Linked DNA regions of Drosophila melanogaster. The protein of the gene in region 3 interacts with the protein of the main gene of each other region in a pairwise test. Each region holds a gene or a part of one and is shown on either strand. Other genes may lie near its edges.

The links.
Region 1: the proteins of CG30355 (region 3) and CG12506 interact in a two-hybrid assay, tested with the Drosophila melanogaster proteins (one large-scale study listed by BioGRID).
Region 2: the proteins of CG30355 (region 3) and CG2611 interact in a two-hybrid assay, tested with the Drosophila melanogaster proteins (one large-scale study listed by BioGRID).
Region 4: the proteins of CG30355 (region 3) and acs interact in a two-hybrid assay, tested with the Drosophila melanogaster proteins (one large-scale study listed by BioGRID).

The regions. Positions count from the first base shown.
Region 1 is NT_033779.5:771,531-774,575, forward strand, and holds CG12506 (uncharacterized protein), read left to right. Parts: upstream 1-2,016; 5' UTR 2,017-2,064; coding exon 2,065-2,388; 3' UTR 2,389-2,487; downstream 2,488-3,045.
Region 2 is NT_033779.5:20,648,304-20,651,409, reverse strand, and holds CG2611 (uncharacterized protein), read right to left. Parts: upstream 1,222-3,106; 5' UTR 1,160-1,221; coding exon 950-1,159; intron 874-949; coding exon 685-873; 3' UTR 512-684; downstream 1-511. Other genes in the region: brun (brunelleschi), read left to right, coding at 1-120; CG18810 (uncharacterized protein), read right to left, coding at 1,471-2,373.
Region 3 is NT_033778.4:8,678,591-8,681,611, reverse strand, and holds CG30355 (uncharacterized protein), read left to right. Parts: upstream 1-1,658; 5' UTR 1,659-1,783; coding exon 1,784-2,118; intron 2,119-2,175; coding exon 2,176-2,401; 3' UTR 2,402-2,466; downstream 2,467-3,021. Other genes in the region: Acsl (Acyl-CoA synthetase long-chain), read right to left, coding at 7-161, 227-502, 564-827, 891-1,063, 1,126-1,600, 2,478-2,684, 2,744-3,021.
Region 4 is NT_037436.4:1,969,938-1,974,823, reverse strand, and holds acs (arcus), read right to left. Parts: upstream 3,187-4,886; 5' UTR 3,008-3,186; coding exon 3,003-3,007; intron 2,751-3,002; coding exon 2,625-2,750; intron 2,562-2,624; coding exon 2,411-2,561; intron 2,348-2,410; coding exon 2,226-2,347; intron 1,787-2,225; coding exon 1,560-1,786; intron 1,486-1,559; coding exon 1,355-1,485; intron 1,289-1,354; coding exon 1,110-1,288; intron 1,053-1,109; coding exon 880-1,052; intron 824-879; coding exon 582-823; 3' UTR 539-581; downstream 1-538. Other genes in the region: CG11815 (uncharacterized protein), read left to right, coding at 3,694-4,545. UniProt on the Drosophila melanogaster protein: Amino acid transporter which has pH-dependent electrogenic transport activity for alanine, glycine and proline. Plays a role in positive regulation of growth by directly or indirectly modulating the effects of the TOR signaling pathway.

The DNA.
Region 1 (3,045 bases), on a different chromosome or scaffold from region 3:
TCAGCTTCTTTTAGCCTGCGACGAATTGTAGAACTACTAACTTGTTTGCCAATTGTATTTTTTGATTCTAAGGCAATTTTTACCGGACTGGCACTAGGATTCTTCGCCACAACTCCAAGTATTTGCCTGCATTGCCTTTGGTCCAGCACAGGTTTTCGGCCTGATCTTTTTTTATTTTTTAATGTGCCAACTGTATCAAACTTTTTTATTAAGTAGTAGACAGTTCTACGCGAAATTTGATATATTTCAGCTATTTTGGCCGCAGGTGTACCGGCTTTAAACCTAGCAACAATACCAGCCCGGGCCTCAACTGTTAACTCTTTTGTTTTGGGCATTTTATTTAATAACTGTAATAGGAAAATGATTAAATCTAATTTTTATTCAATAATTTAAATGTATTTAAGCAAACAAACCGGCACTTGTCACTCTAAACCAATCACTGAAGAAGAAATTGCGTTGTGAAAATAATTGTGATGCGACGAAACCGTGTGCAAATACTTCTGACAACTGATAAAGATCTCTTCATTTGCCTCTTCCTTGCGCATAGGAACAGTTATTTTTTCAATTCTTCTTTCATCTGACTCTGCATAGGTTTGAATTTGCAAAAGCAAAAGTTTTTTTGCATTTCACCTCCCCCCACTTGCTGCACAAGCAACTGTTTGTGACCCATGCACAAAAATGCACTTTGTGAAAATAATTTTGACCATGACTGTATGTTACACATGCCGCAAAGGCGGTCTTGTCTTGCTGGTCCTGGCCAAAATACAATTTGGCCCAGCTAAGAGGCTTCGACGACCTCGGCTTTAATATGGCGAACTGGACGGGGAGCCGTGCAGTCTGTCTGCCCGAGTTTAATCGCATTTAGCTCATTTAGCGGCAAATTGAATTTGCCAACGTCACGGCCCTCAACAAAACCCCTGAATAGGCCACGCCGAAAATGAGAAATTCAATTAAAATCAAATTTTTTCAACATCAGCCGCCCAGAGACGTCTTTAAACGGATTTTCAGTTACAATTTCGACGCTTTAACTCCGCAAAAACACACACAAAATCGAAGCCAGGATAAATAGGCAGGAATAATTGAGCGGCTGCTGGTGCCGTCGGGGCATCATTCCATCATTTCCCAATCCCAGGCCCTACCCATCGCAACCCCAGCCCCGCCCACTCACGCCCCTTCTGGGAAAAAAACACGAGATAATCGCCTCAGTTTCCATTGCGGCCCACAAAATTTTTATGCGTGGCAACATTTTTTGCGCTTGGCTTCAGTTTCGCACAGGCCAGTGCTCGTGATTAGCTTTGGTCATGGATGGACTCGTCATGGTTGTCGGAGAGGGATGTGGGAGCTCCTGGCGGTAGATGGAGCAGAAGAAAAAGGCTTTGGCCCAGTGAGTAGCGCGATAATTAGGACTCAAAATCCTAGTCCCGAAGATGATTTATGACGCCAGCGCTGCTGGAGTTCATTGCTGGCTAATTTATTACGCTCTCGCCGTGAGGGATCAACTGTTTCTTCTTAGCTCCACCGCCCACGTGCTCCTCAAAGTCAATATTTTCTTGATGTGTAACTAAAATATAATTGAGTGGCTACTGAGCTCGGCTCCATGTTGTCTTCAAAACTTACCTGAAAGGATTTTAAATTGAGCTTGCCAAAAAATTACTTTGCTTGAATTATTACCAATATTTATAATTTAAACTTGTAAATATGCAAACAGATCAAGACGCTGAGCGCAAATAGTAAATAAATGGAAACTAAAGTAGTAAATCAAAAACAGAACTAGAAATGAAAATCTAGAAGCTAAAGCAGCTGCTTCTAATGCAAAGACGATAAATGAATGAGTCAATGCTAAACATTTGTACTTTTTCAAGAACAAATTGTGCTTCGGTTTTTTCCATTTACCTCATACGTTTCTTTGATATGATTTCTGTGACGTAACCGGGCAGCAGCTGTTTTTGAGGGGACTTCTGTGGGAAAATATGAAGTCTTAGAGAATATAAAAAGGCTTAGGCTTTTGGAAAAAGCATCACAACCTGAATTTCCACTAAGCAAAGCCGAACTGCCAGAGAGAAAATGCGTTCCTTCATTCTGATTGCCCTCTTCGCCCTGATTGCCCTGGCTGCTGCTCAAGGCGGACCACAAGGTGGACAGCAGGGTGGGCAAGGAGGATCTCAAAATGGTCAGCAAGGAGGCCAGCAGGGAGGCTCCCAGGAAGGATCCCAGGAAGGATCCCAGGAAGGACAACAGGGAGGTCAGCAGGGAGGTCAGCAGCAGGGTGGTCCTGGCGGTCCATGGGGTCTGCCTCCGAATGGAACTGAACTCTCCAACAGTACCACAACTTCGACCACTGAGGCTACCAGCACTGAATCCAGCAGCACAGAGGTTTCCTCTTCGTAACTTATAGATTGATCCTAATGAAAGCGAACAGGCTTGCTCAGTTCCTTACCATTCCCTTTATCAATACAAGTTCTTGAAATAAATTGATATCAGTACTCTAATGTGTTGTAGCTAAATTCGGTTAAAATCCGCTTTTAAGCGTCATGGAGTCATTAAAGCTAATGCCTGCAAATCGTTTAATTAAGCCTGTGCTCATATGACAAAAAATGCTGGGAATTATTCTGAAGCAGCAATTGACGCCAAAAAGTGTGCAACACTTTTGTGCTGCTGCTAAAAACCACTTTCGAGCAAATCCCAGGAATGCAACCTCCTTTCCCCGAGCATCCCGCAAAATTGCCACTAAAAGAGTTCCCCCCTCCCCGCACCGAAATCAGCGACAAACAGCAGTTGCAAACGGCAGTGGGAAAAGTGTAGGGGAAAACGCATATGCGGTGGCTCATGAAATGCAGTACAAAGTCGTCTTCCTCATCCACTCGCTGCTCAGCGAAGCGGCCACTTTTAGTGCACTGGAGTGTTTGGTCGCAGAGGGGGTGGCTTTTTAGGGGGCGGAACTGGCTGGGCGGTGGTCGGTGGGTGGAAGGCCATCAGTCGTGGACCGGCGAAGTGATCAATTGATTTGCATTTCCCACTCCGGGCAGAGCGGACACCAGAGTGCAG
Region 2 (3,106 bases), on a different chromosome or scaffold from region 3:
TGTCCGGCAGAAGCGGAGAGTGTCGGCCAATCGGTCATGTTCTCCTCCAGCTACGATGAGCAGCAGGCGCATGTGTGGAAGTTCATTCCGCCCATCGAGGTGACCGTCGTGGAGCAGTGAAATGTTACCTGTCGCTAGTTTAATTTCGTTACAATGTTTGTGTATGTATTGTGTATACACCCCATACTAATCCCCTACTCTTGTTAAAGTATTTGATTCCCACGCGCCCTGTTATATCCGTAAACACGAAAAGCAATTGTTTGTAAAGAATTCTTACCTACATAGATACAACATGTAACGCATAACACTGTATATAATTAAGCTGAAACACAAAGTTATACTGTGCCCCAAGCTTGATAGAGAAAATGGCCATAACATAAATCATATAACCTATAGTTCATGCCTGTAAAACATATACATATTTAAGCAAGCGATGCGCTATTTAAATAGATAGCCAATGTTCCGCGCACTAGAAGCCACGCCAAGCATTATACATTTTGATAACGAAGCTCGTGTTTAAAAAATATTTTTATACAATTACCGGGGCAATACACATGTATCATAATGAACTACATATTAAGATTGTTGCTAAAGAAATTATGCCAATGAAATGTGTGAATAACTGTAGTGTAAAAGCAATAAACTCTATTTGACGAAACATTTGGTGTCTTTGGTTTCTCCTTTTCAGCCGAGTCTTCGTATCTCGTCCATGGTGAATCCGTTGCGGTTGAGCATTATGCAGAAGAGCACGTACACATAGTAGCTTCCCGGGATGAAGGTCAGTGCCCCGATGATACCCAACGCCCACACCCGATCCGATCGCTCCCGGCTCGTGTCCGTCACCCAGTTTAAGGTGGCAAAGGCGATGCAAACCTGAAGACAAAGACATCAGATCAGAAGTTCGAAGGAACTGTGCATGTATGTGTGGGCACCAGTAATCACTACTCACAATGCCACCGATAAACAGCAAAAGAATGATAATAATGGTCTTCCAAGGCACTGGACCTGGCATCGCCGGTTCCGTCCACTGTTCATTAACGAATCCATCGGTCTCGCATTGGGACTCCACCACCTTGATGTACTCTCCGGAGCCTGCTGGCGCGGAACTCCTGCCCCCTCCATTTAGGCGGTGCCGCGACTCCGAATTGGTGGGCTCCATATGTGGTCTCTACCTACTGGCAGTTGATCTTGACCAGATGCCAATTTCAGACTAAACAAACAAGCATTTTGCGGCAAGTCAATGTTATCAGGAAAACAGCTGACGAGACTGCCAACCTGGGGAAAATCAGCAAGCACAGTAGAGACCAAATAAAACGAAACATACACATATCGCATAATAACACATCCTTAAATATTTAACTTTTTAATTTGGAAAGCTTTCTTGCATGCCTGAACTAATCAAATGAATTCGAATTTTTAATTTTTCATCGCACCGGTAATTTGGAAAACACAGAGAATGCATAAAATTATTTAGCCATCCTTGATGGTTGTTTCTGAGCACCAATCTGCCACACGTTCGTTGTCGGGATCCAGATCAAATCCGTCGTGGTCCAGCTGGCTGGGAACAAATCCGGAGATCCAGGTCCACTTCATTCGCCTGCCCAAGAACGTCTTGAAGTTTCGGCGCAGTTTTCGGTCAAAAGGAATGTTTTGAAGTTCAAAATCATAGCAAAAATAGCCACGAGACCACTGATCATAAGCCACATAGGTAGCTACGCATACCCCGATCCACAGCAGGACGAATACCAGAGTGAACACCAGCTCGTATATATCGGGCAACTTAAAGTAGATTATCCTGATAATAAGCGAGTTAAAATAGGCAGAGTTCGGTGCGGGATGTGTCAGCATAAAGAGCTGGTATCTGCCCCCATGCAGAACGTAAATAAATATCGAAGATGACGTTAGTGAAATCATGCAGCTTAGAAAAAAGTAGATAAGAAAATAGAAAAAGTATCTATAGTTCTCATGACCGATGCAGCAACCAGTAAAGAAGCAGTGATGATCTCGCATCAGGACACAGACGCCACACTTCCTGCAGTGACGTGACCGGGGTGGAGCAAGAATCCCGCACTTGTCGCACTCGTGCCAGTCCTCACTGTGCTGTCCGCGCACCAACTGATTCTTCATAAGCTTGGGATCGATGCTGGGGTCCACCAGGATGCACATGACATAGTTGGACATCACATTCGAAAAGAGGAACAGTCCCAGCAGCAGCTGAAATACGTAACCAGGTGACCAATAATCCGACAACTCCGGCAGAATTATCTCCATTAGAACATAGTATATGGCGGGCAAGCCACATAAAATGAACAAAAATAGGAATTGCTCCAACTTCTCTTTTGGCCATATGTTCTTCAGCGACCGAAACCTCATTATAACGAAAGTGATTTGATCAATTTGTAAAAACTTTACTGCAGATTGCAAAACTGGTTTGGAAAAAGTATTGGTGTGACTTTGAATTAGTTATTCCAGCCTACACGATGTATCAATATTTTTTCTCCCTTTTCCCAACCGTCTCTCAAAAATATTTAAAAAATAAAACTATGGCAAGCTGCATTCTGTTTCTATAAATATAATTTTATTAGATTTTTTACGTCCACTTTTCTGGCATCATGCAAGGGAGCCCTGTAAAATAAATAAAAATTATGCATAAGTATTTAATCATTATTCAGGGGTTACTCTAAATATATATTTTTACAGACAGTTCTAAAGATTTCCTAAAAAAAATATGTGCAAAATTATTTTTCTTTACTTTTGTTTACGGATCATTTTCATAGATTTAATAAATACAAACAAAATTCATGTTGTTTTAAAGAATACCCTTAGTTTCGTTTTTGTATTTGGTATTTTGTTTCCTAGACAATAGCTTAAGACTTGGCCTCAAATACTCCCATATTTATATATACGTACACATAACACTTTAAACTTACAAGTGTGGAAATCCTTCTTACGTAGGGTTTCTGTCAGAGAAATTCGGGTTTCAGCATTATCTAAAAAGAAAGAGTTATTGTAGTGTTGTTGAACATAAAATCACGCAAGCTAACAATATTTTAAAAATCAGATCTACTATCGAGATAAATCAGTCACAGATATCAGACGTCCCTAT
Region 3 (3,021 bases):
TGACTTTCATGAGGCGTACATGCGGTTAATATCATGCTGATATCTGTCCTGGATATCCTTGCGCTTCAGCTTGAAGGCGGCGGTTACCAGCCCCATGTCCGGAGACCAGACCTCCTTACAAAGTGTGATGGCGGCGGGAACCTCATATTTTTGCAATTTACCTTTAAGATTAAACAATTTGCCATTAAAAACTTTGAAAAATACTCAAATCTGCATCGTAGCTTACATTTCCGCGCATGCTCAGCAATTTCCTTGAGAATAGCCTTCTCTATGATCGGTGATGAGCACAGCTCCTCAAAGGACTTATCACCCAGGCCATGTTTCTGTGCCAGCTCCTCCAAATGGTTTTGGTTGGGAACGACCAGCGCCACTGTGTACTGCTTTGTCGGATCTCCGTATACGCAAATGTTCTCGATGATTCCGCAAGTCTTAAGCTCAGATTCAACTTTGCCAAGGGAAACATACTCGCCGGCCTGCAGCTTAACCAGATCCTTCTTACGATCTGCAAAAAGCGTATTATAATAAAAAAAATGAAAGAAAAAGCACTGTGCTAAATAACTTACCAATAATCTTAAGTACGCCATCAGCTTGTATTTCGCCAATGTCGCCGGTTTTAAACCATCTCTGTCCATCCTCCTCAAAGAAATCCTCGTTGGTCTTGCCGGGCAACTTGTAGTATCCCTGGGAGACACACTCGCCACCAATGAGAACCTCACCCTGGGGATAAGGTTTATTTGTGACGCGGTAGTTGCCTTCTTCCCAGTTGACTAGACGGATGTCGCAGACAGTTAATGGTCCTCCAGTGCGTCCATAGGTCATATCACGGTCTTGTATTGGGTATAAAGTTATTTACTTGTTTTCAAAAGAAAGGTCGATCTGCGATCACTTACAGTCCATGACAGTGGCTCCAGACGTAGTTTCCGTAAGGCCATAGCCCTGAATCAGCTCCAAGCACAAGCAGGTCTTGATCTGCTCATGTGTATCTGCTGACAGAGGCGCTCCGCCAGACATGATAATGCGCACTTTGCCACCCATTAGCTTTGCCACCTTCTTGAACACCAGTCTGCAAGAAAAATAATAGTTTTAGTTAGCAACTCATGATATTTATGAGCACACCGTTCTTACTTATCAATCAGCGGCGTCTTGTACCCCCTCTGCACCCACTTGACTTTGTACTGGTAAAGGAATTTGAAGAGTGATTTCTTGAACGCCGAGCCAGAGTTAACCTTGTCGTTAATACCCTTGGAAATGCGATCCAATATCAGCGGCACCGAAGTCATGCAGGTGGGCTTCAGGACGGTGGCATCGCCCTTGCACCCGCGTTTGATCTTGCTGCTAGTGTCGATCAGAGTCAAGGGGGTCGAGTAGCCAATTGGAACGCCAGTCATGAGACACACACTTTCCGCAACCAATTCAAAAACGTGAGCCAGGGGCAGGAATCCGATCAGTACATCATCCGGATAGATAGGCACCATATCAACAAATCCCTTCATTGTCGCAATGCAGTTCTTGTGCGAGAGGAGGACACCCTTAGGTGTGCCAGTGGATCCGGAAGTGTACATGATAATGGCAATGTCATCTCCCTTGGGTGGAACGTGCTCTGTGGGATACAAAATAAAGTCAATTAGTACTAGTTTAATATTTAACAAATTCCTTGCGCATAGCACGCTATACATATGCTGTCAACATTTCAGTGCTGAATTAAAAGCGCATACTTTCGGTAAACAGAAAGAACTCTTTCCAAATTGTGTAGGGTGATTTTTTAGTTCAGACACCATTCGAAATGGCTGAAGTCCTAGAGGAATTCATCACCCTAACGCCCTTGACTTGTGTGCAACAATGCAATGCTTTACTAGGCTCAACATCAGGAAAGCCGAGAAGCTGCTCCGTATTTTTTACACTATTTGGCGTATACTGCGGCGTTCTCATCTTTCGGGCGTATCGCACATATTCCTCTAAGCAAGAAAGAGACGAGGAAAAGATAACCGAAGGAGTTACCCTTGAGGCTAAGGAGGAAGATTTGATCATAGGACCTGGTTCCAGTCTTGTGAACGAATATGTAGAACAAACGAAGCCGATTCTGTTGCAACCCGTCGGTTTTTCCAGTACTGACATGAGGTGAGAGTTGTAGATTAAAACACTGGATGACCCATCAACACATTCTGTCTCGATTAGATGGCGCTATTGCAACCACTTGCCGGAAGCAGAATTAGCACAAGGCTCTGATAGTGAAAACAGATCAACCGAAAGAGATGACATTGATAACCTCGAAAGGATGAGCAATGTTGTGGATGATAATGATGCGCAGAAGCCGGTTGCATCCACATCGATGGCAACGGCTCGGGCGCCTGAGGATAACGCCGATGGTGAACACGTCGAGCCCACACCATTTTCGGTGTGAAACACGATGCATTTTAGCAAATTTATCGTGTAATTGACATAAATAAATCATCTTTTAAGACCCTTTCAAAACGTACCAAATTTACTGTCCTGTCCTGTCTTGACAACTTGGTTAAACGGCAAGATCTTGACGCCCTCCTTGAAGCCAGTGGTTTCTGTCTTTTGCAGCTGATCCTCAATATAGATAATAGTCTTCACCAATGGGCATTTGTCGAGCAGCGTCTTAAACTTGGGCAGCAGATCATGGGAGGTGATAACCGTGGTGACTTCCGTTTCGGTGATGCCTGGCAACAGAGCAAAATATTATTTAAAAACCATACACATGGTAAGCCAATTTACTCACAATGAGCAACTCCATCATCGCCCAGCGTAGCATAGACAGTGACAATGGGCATAGCCTGCTTAAAGCATCCGTGGGCAGCTATCATCCATTCGGCTCGCGTTTCGGCAAAGATGACAATGTTCTCGCGTGGTTTCTGGCCAAGTTCTCGCAGACCGCGCCCGAAATTAGCCGCCGTGCGCTCCGCCTCGGTGAACGTCTTCCACTTGTAGTCACCGAGGTTGTACTTCTTGAAGACTCGACCGTTCTGCTGCACCTCATCCTCCTCGCTGAGGATCTGC
Region 4 (4,886 bases), on a different chromosome or scaffold from region 3:
CTCTGGCTTCTTAGGGCCGGCGGTCATTGCGGCTCAGTCCGGCACTCTGTGGCCTTCATGCCAGCAGAAGACAGCCAAAGAGGTCCTGCCGTAGAAGGGGGGGATTGTTGTCGACGGGGGGAGGGGAGAGGACAGGACGCAGGATGCAGGATGCAGGAAAGCGTTGTCAGTAACCTGTGAGCAAAACATTGTAAATAAAATGCAGCTGGATTGCGAAGGAAGGAGGTTGTGGAGTTCTGTGTCTGGCTTGCTGACCTGCGGCGCTTTTGTGTTAATTGCGGTTGCATTTAATTACAGTTCGTTGCAACTGGCCAGCTTTCCCGACTGCACTGCGTTTTAACCACCTCCACCCCCCGCACATTTTCCACCAAACCGAGCCAAGACCTGAGCTAAGCTTTTAATTAAAATTAAAAATATTTGGTCTACTTTGGCAGCATGACTTTGGCATGTGTTCGACTATGCAGGCCATAAGCCAACATTGTTTACTGCGTGTGTGTATTGGCCAATTGCAATAAATCTTCTAGCCACATCATCAAATGTAAATTAAGGTCGAGTTTATTGAACCACAACGAATTCGAAGTTTACTTGTACACCGCAATGATGTCCAAAATGCTAACATAGGTGCCCACCACTCCGCCAAAGATGCCAAAGCACAAAAGCAGCAGATTGATGATCAACTTTATCCGGAATGGTCCATAGCCCTCGGTGTACTGGACGCAGATCTGGAGTAGCACGGGGAAGATGAGGCCCAGGATCGAAAGGCAAAAGGAGCCAACCAGGGAGAGGAAGACCGATAGATCCGGAATGGCAACCGCGCAGCCAACTAAAAATATATAAACATATTAAAACTAGTATTTCATCAAATGTTTCTTTCCTTACAAGTGAGCAGCACGATTATGGCTCTGAAAATCAGTTCATAGAATGTCTGCCTGGTTTCCTTGAAGCGCTTGGCCAAGTATTTATCCCACAGGATGTGGGCAGTCACATAGCCCTGCAAGGCATATGAGATCCAAGTGGTGATGGCAAAGAATACCTTTACCACCTGAGCGGGTCTAAAAGGCGGAATTCAACATTAAGTGGCTAACACTTAAATAGCATTGAGAACTCACATTTCAGACTGCGGAATATTCAGTGTAATACTGCCCTCCGACTCATTGCCATATTTCCAGTAGCCAAAGAATCCGAGCAGAACATACAAGCCCAGCACTATGGACATGCCACTATTCAAAATGCCACAGGGGCCCACAAAGGATTTGGGCGTGGCCATATTCTCCTCAATTGCCAGGATCTTTTCAAAGAAGATAAATGATTAAATTGCATTATATATGATATGTTTATTATTTTTAAGACTTACCACTCCCACTGCTTCCAGAGCAAAGAGCACTGTGCCAAAGAAGGTGGGCAACTTTCCGGCGGCCACAAAAGGATCTCGTTCACTTAGGGGTGGTAGCTCCTCAAAGATGTAGTACAAAATGATGCCGAAACCTAGTTAAAAATTAAAAAGTGGAACTTAATGACTTCTTTTTAGAAAAAGTATGCAAATTAAACAAAAAACTTACCCACTAGAAGCAAAAGATTTGCTGCACTGGAAAAAGGCGCGAGTAGCTTTAAATTCTTTATGCTATATATCAGCAGGAGTGGCACAATGATGATGCACATGTGTATTCGCACATCCCAGACCACCAGATACTCATCCACCAGCTGCTTTATGCTTTCCGCTATGAAAACCACGTAGACGCAACAGATGCCGAAGTGGTAAAAGGCCAGGAAGCCATCTACAAAGGGACTGATGAAAAATAACACTATAAAATATGATTTACATACAATATATAAAACATAAAACAAGTAAGTATGCCTCATGCCTAAGTTAAATGCTAAAGCCACTAGGAAACAAATTTCACAATAGGTACTCAACACTTGGCTAAAATGTAAATTGGTAAACCTTCCGCAACTTAAGCAAGTAATTGAATAAAAAAAACCCTCAAGATATTATTGATAAGCGATGTAAACCAATTACTAAACAAACTATTGGGATGTGCCCCCATATTTTAGGGTGCTATTGTAAAGATAAAGATACAATAAATCGTAGTGAAAATCTATTGATCAACAACAAGATAAGATTTTCATTACCCAATTGAGTAATCATTAAAAAGCACTTAGAAAGTTAATCAATATATAGAGGGAAGTTATAGATAGCAGTTGTTTTGCCGAGTTACTTCACTTACACGGCAATGGGTGCCAAACAACGCAGCCAGGGTGGACCTTGTTTGAGTCCCAGATTCATGGCCTGCGAAAAGCTGACGTAGGGAACCCGCTGCCGCTTGCACAGTATGTACATGCATTTGATCTGTAAATCAAGTATATATAAGTAAGTAAGGAAATTTCTATGTGACTCCCACCAAAAACCCACCAAAATGTGCAGGCAGTAGAGGGCCAGCGATCCAATGATCAGCGTGAGAAGGGTGCCATTCACATATCCTGCGTGTGCGAAGGCACTGGGCATGGCCAGGACGCCAGTGCCCACGGAAGCCTTCAGGAAGTGGGCGAATGTCTGAAAGTTTCTGGGGAAAGTGGGGCCTGAAAATGATTCTCTGAGCTCAGCACTGTTGAAAATCTATGCTTACGTAGTGGGATTCTTCAGCTCGCGGTGCTGATGAGGATCGTAATCATCGTTACTGCCATTCGCTGATTTTGTTGGGGTCGTTAATTCCAGTGTGGTTGGGTAAACCGTCACGGTTTTTATATCGTCGCTGTTGGGGGAGCAATTAAAAGTTGTTTTTGAGGTGAATTGATTGATTGATAAATGGGTTCGGGTCGTTAAACAATAAGCGCCAAGGAGGTTCCTCGAGAAAAGATGTTGGTTCAAAATTAAAGGTCGTAAAAATATACAATTTCTTAACCGGGATTTGGTTGAGGCTAATGTTTTGTCATTTATTGTGTTTGCGCATCAGTTAGCTTATTTTTTACGATCTCGAAACCAGAAGAATACGAAGACTACTCACTTCATAGCGATAAAGTAGCGACCGAGTATTTGATAAAGCTACTTGAGCTCGCGGGCGTATAAATCTTTTATCACACGCAATTAAGTCGCCAAAGAGACAAAGATCGTTTCGTGATTGCGAATTCCCGGCCCAACCAGATTTCTTGGGGACTCAACCGAGTGCCTGGCCCACCGGACGGATACTAAATTTCGGATCCCGGTCGAAGCCGCTCAACACCTCTCGTTCGTAAACCGTGCTGATAATCTTGGAAAGATAATTGCACGATAATCAGCCGTATCAGAAGACTTCGCGGGGAACGTGGGAAACCGGAGTGCAGCAATCCGAAATGTATGCCAAAATATTATGTGCACTCTTAAGTGGAAATAATAAAACCAGAATGAAGGCCTTAACCAGTTTGCTGATCGGTTTGAACCTCCCGAAAAGTTCATCGACAATCATCAAACTCTTTATACCTAATATATTATGGCAAAAGCTTGGACATCATTGAATTCAACATTTCTAGTTAGTCGATACTTCCACACAAAGCTTACATTTTACTTTACAGAATAAAGCTTTAGGATATCAGGGCGTATACGTGATGTAGAGATGTATATTTTCAATTTTACACAGTAACCTCTGAAAATGACATCTCCTGTTTTGAGCAACAGTAAAATTTAAAAACATTTACTTTAAAACAAAAGTGCTCCCGAAAATGTCTAAGAATCCACTTCGATTGTTCATAAAACCTGTAATTCTTCGCCGCCTGTCTGATAAGCCCAAGTTGAGCAACAAGCCATCGAACACCCCTCGCCCACCAAAGGATCCACCGGATGAGGGCTACCAACCGACCAGTGTCGATCACAATGGGATCGATGTGCCGCCGTTTGTGAGACCCTCTTCCTTCCGCCAGTTCAGTGGACCGGATGAGAAGCTGGGACCAGGAGCAGGCAAAGCGCTGCCCTACAAGAACCCAACTTACTTTGGCTATCATCGATTCTCATTTATGGAACTCACGGTCACGGCTGTGGAGTTACGAGACGAACGTCGATTGGACGGAGGACTACAGGCATCCATCGAAGCCGACGAAGAATCCGAGTGTGGCGAGGCCCAACTGGAGACCATGAAGAAGCTGGAAAGCGAGTGCGATGCGATACTCTCCAACCAAGCCAAGAAAATCCAGAAGGCCAAATCTTCGGCCGAGGAGAAGTGTCTCCAGGAGATGAGTGAGGAGGAGCTAAAGGAGTGGTGCAAGAAAAAGGAGGAGGACATCAAAAAGAAGGAGCAGGAAAAGAAGGAGGCCAAGTCCTCGCCCAAGGAGAAGAAAATCCAGGACATGAGCGAGGAGGAACTGAAGGCTTGGTGCCAGAAAAAGGAAGAGGACATCAAAAAGAAGGAGCAGGAAAAGAAGGAGGCCAAGTCCTCGCCCAAGGAGAAGAAAGTCCAGGACATGAGCGAGGATGAACTGAAAGCTTGGTGCCAAAAGAAGGAAGAAGACATCAAAAAGAAGGAGCAACAAAAGAAGGAGGAAGGAAAGTGTGAAGGCGATGACAACAAAAAGGATTAAATAAAGCAGACTGCGTTACTCTTGAAAAATGAACAATATTGTTCAAAAATGTACGTTATTTGGTAGCTTAATAAATGAATTGTAGTTTAATTCCAGTATTTTTAGTGTGTTGAGCTTTGAAAAAGCTCTTTCGAAAACTGGTATATACTGGTGGCATATTAGCGGTCACACCATCCGATTTTCTCTCCCAACGAATTGAAATCAGTTGTTCGGTGTGCGTGTGTGGAAAAAGTTCGAGTTCGCCGAGAGAAGCGTGAAAATCCGATATCGAAACTACGTTTTTTTTTTAGTCATTATACCGATTGGCTATGCAAATTTAATTGCGGATCTCCCAAATCATC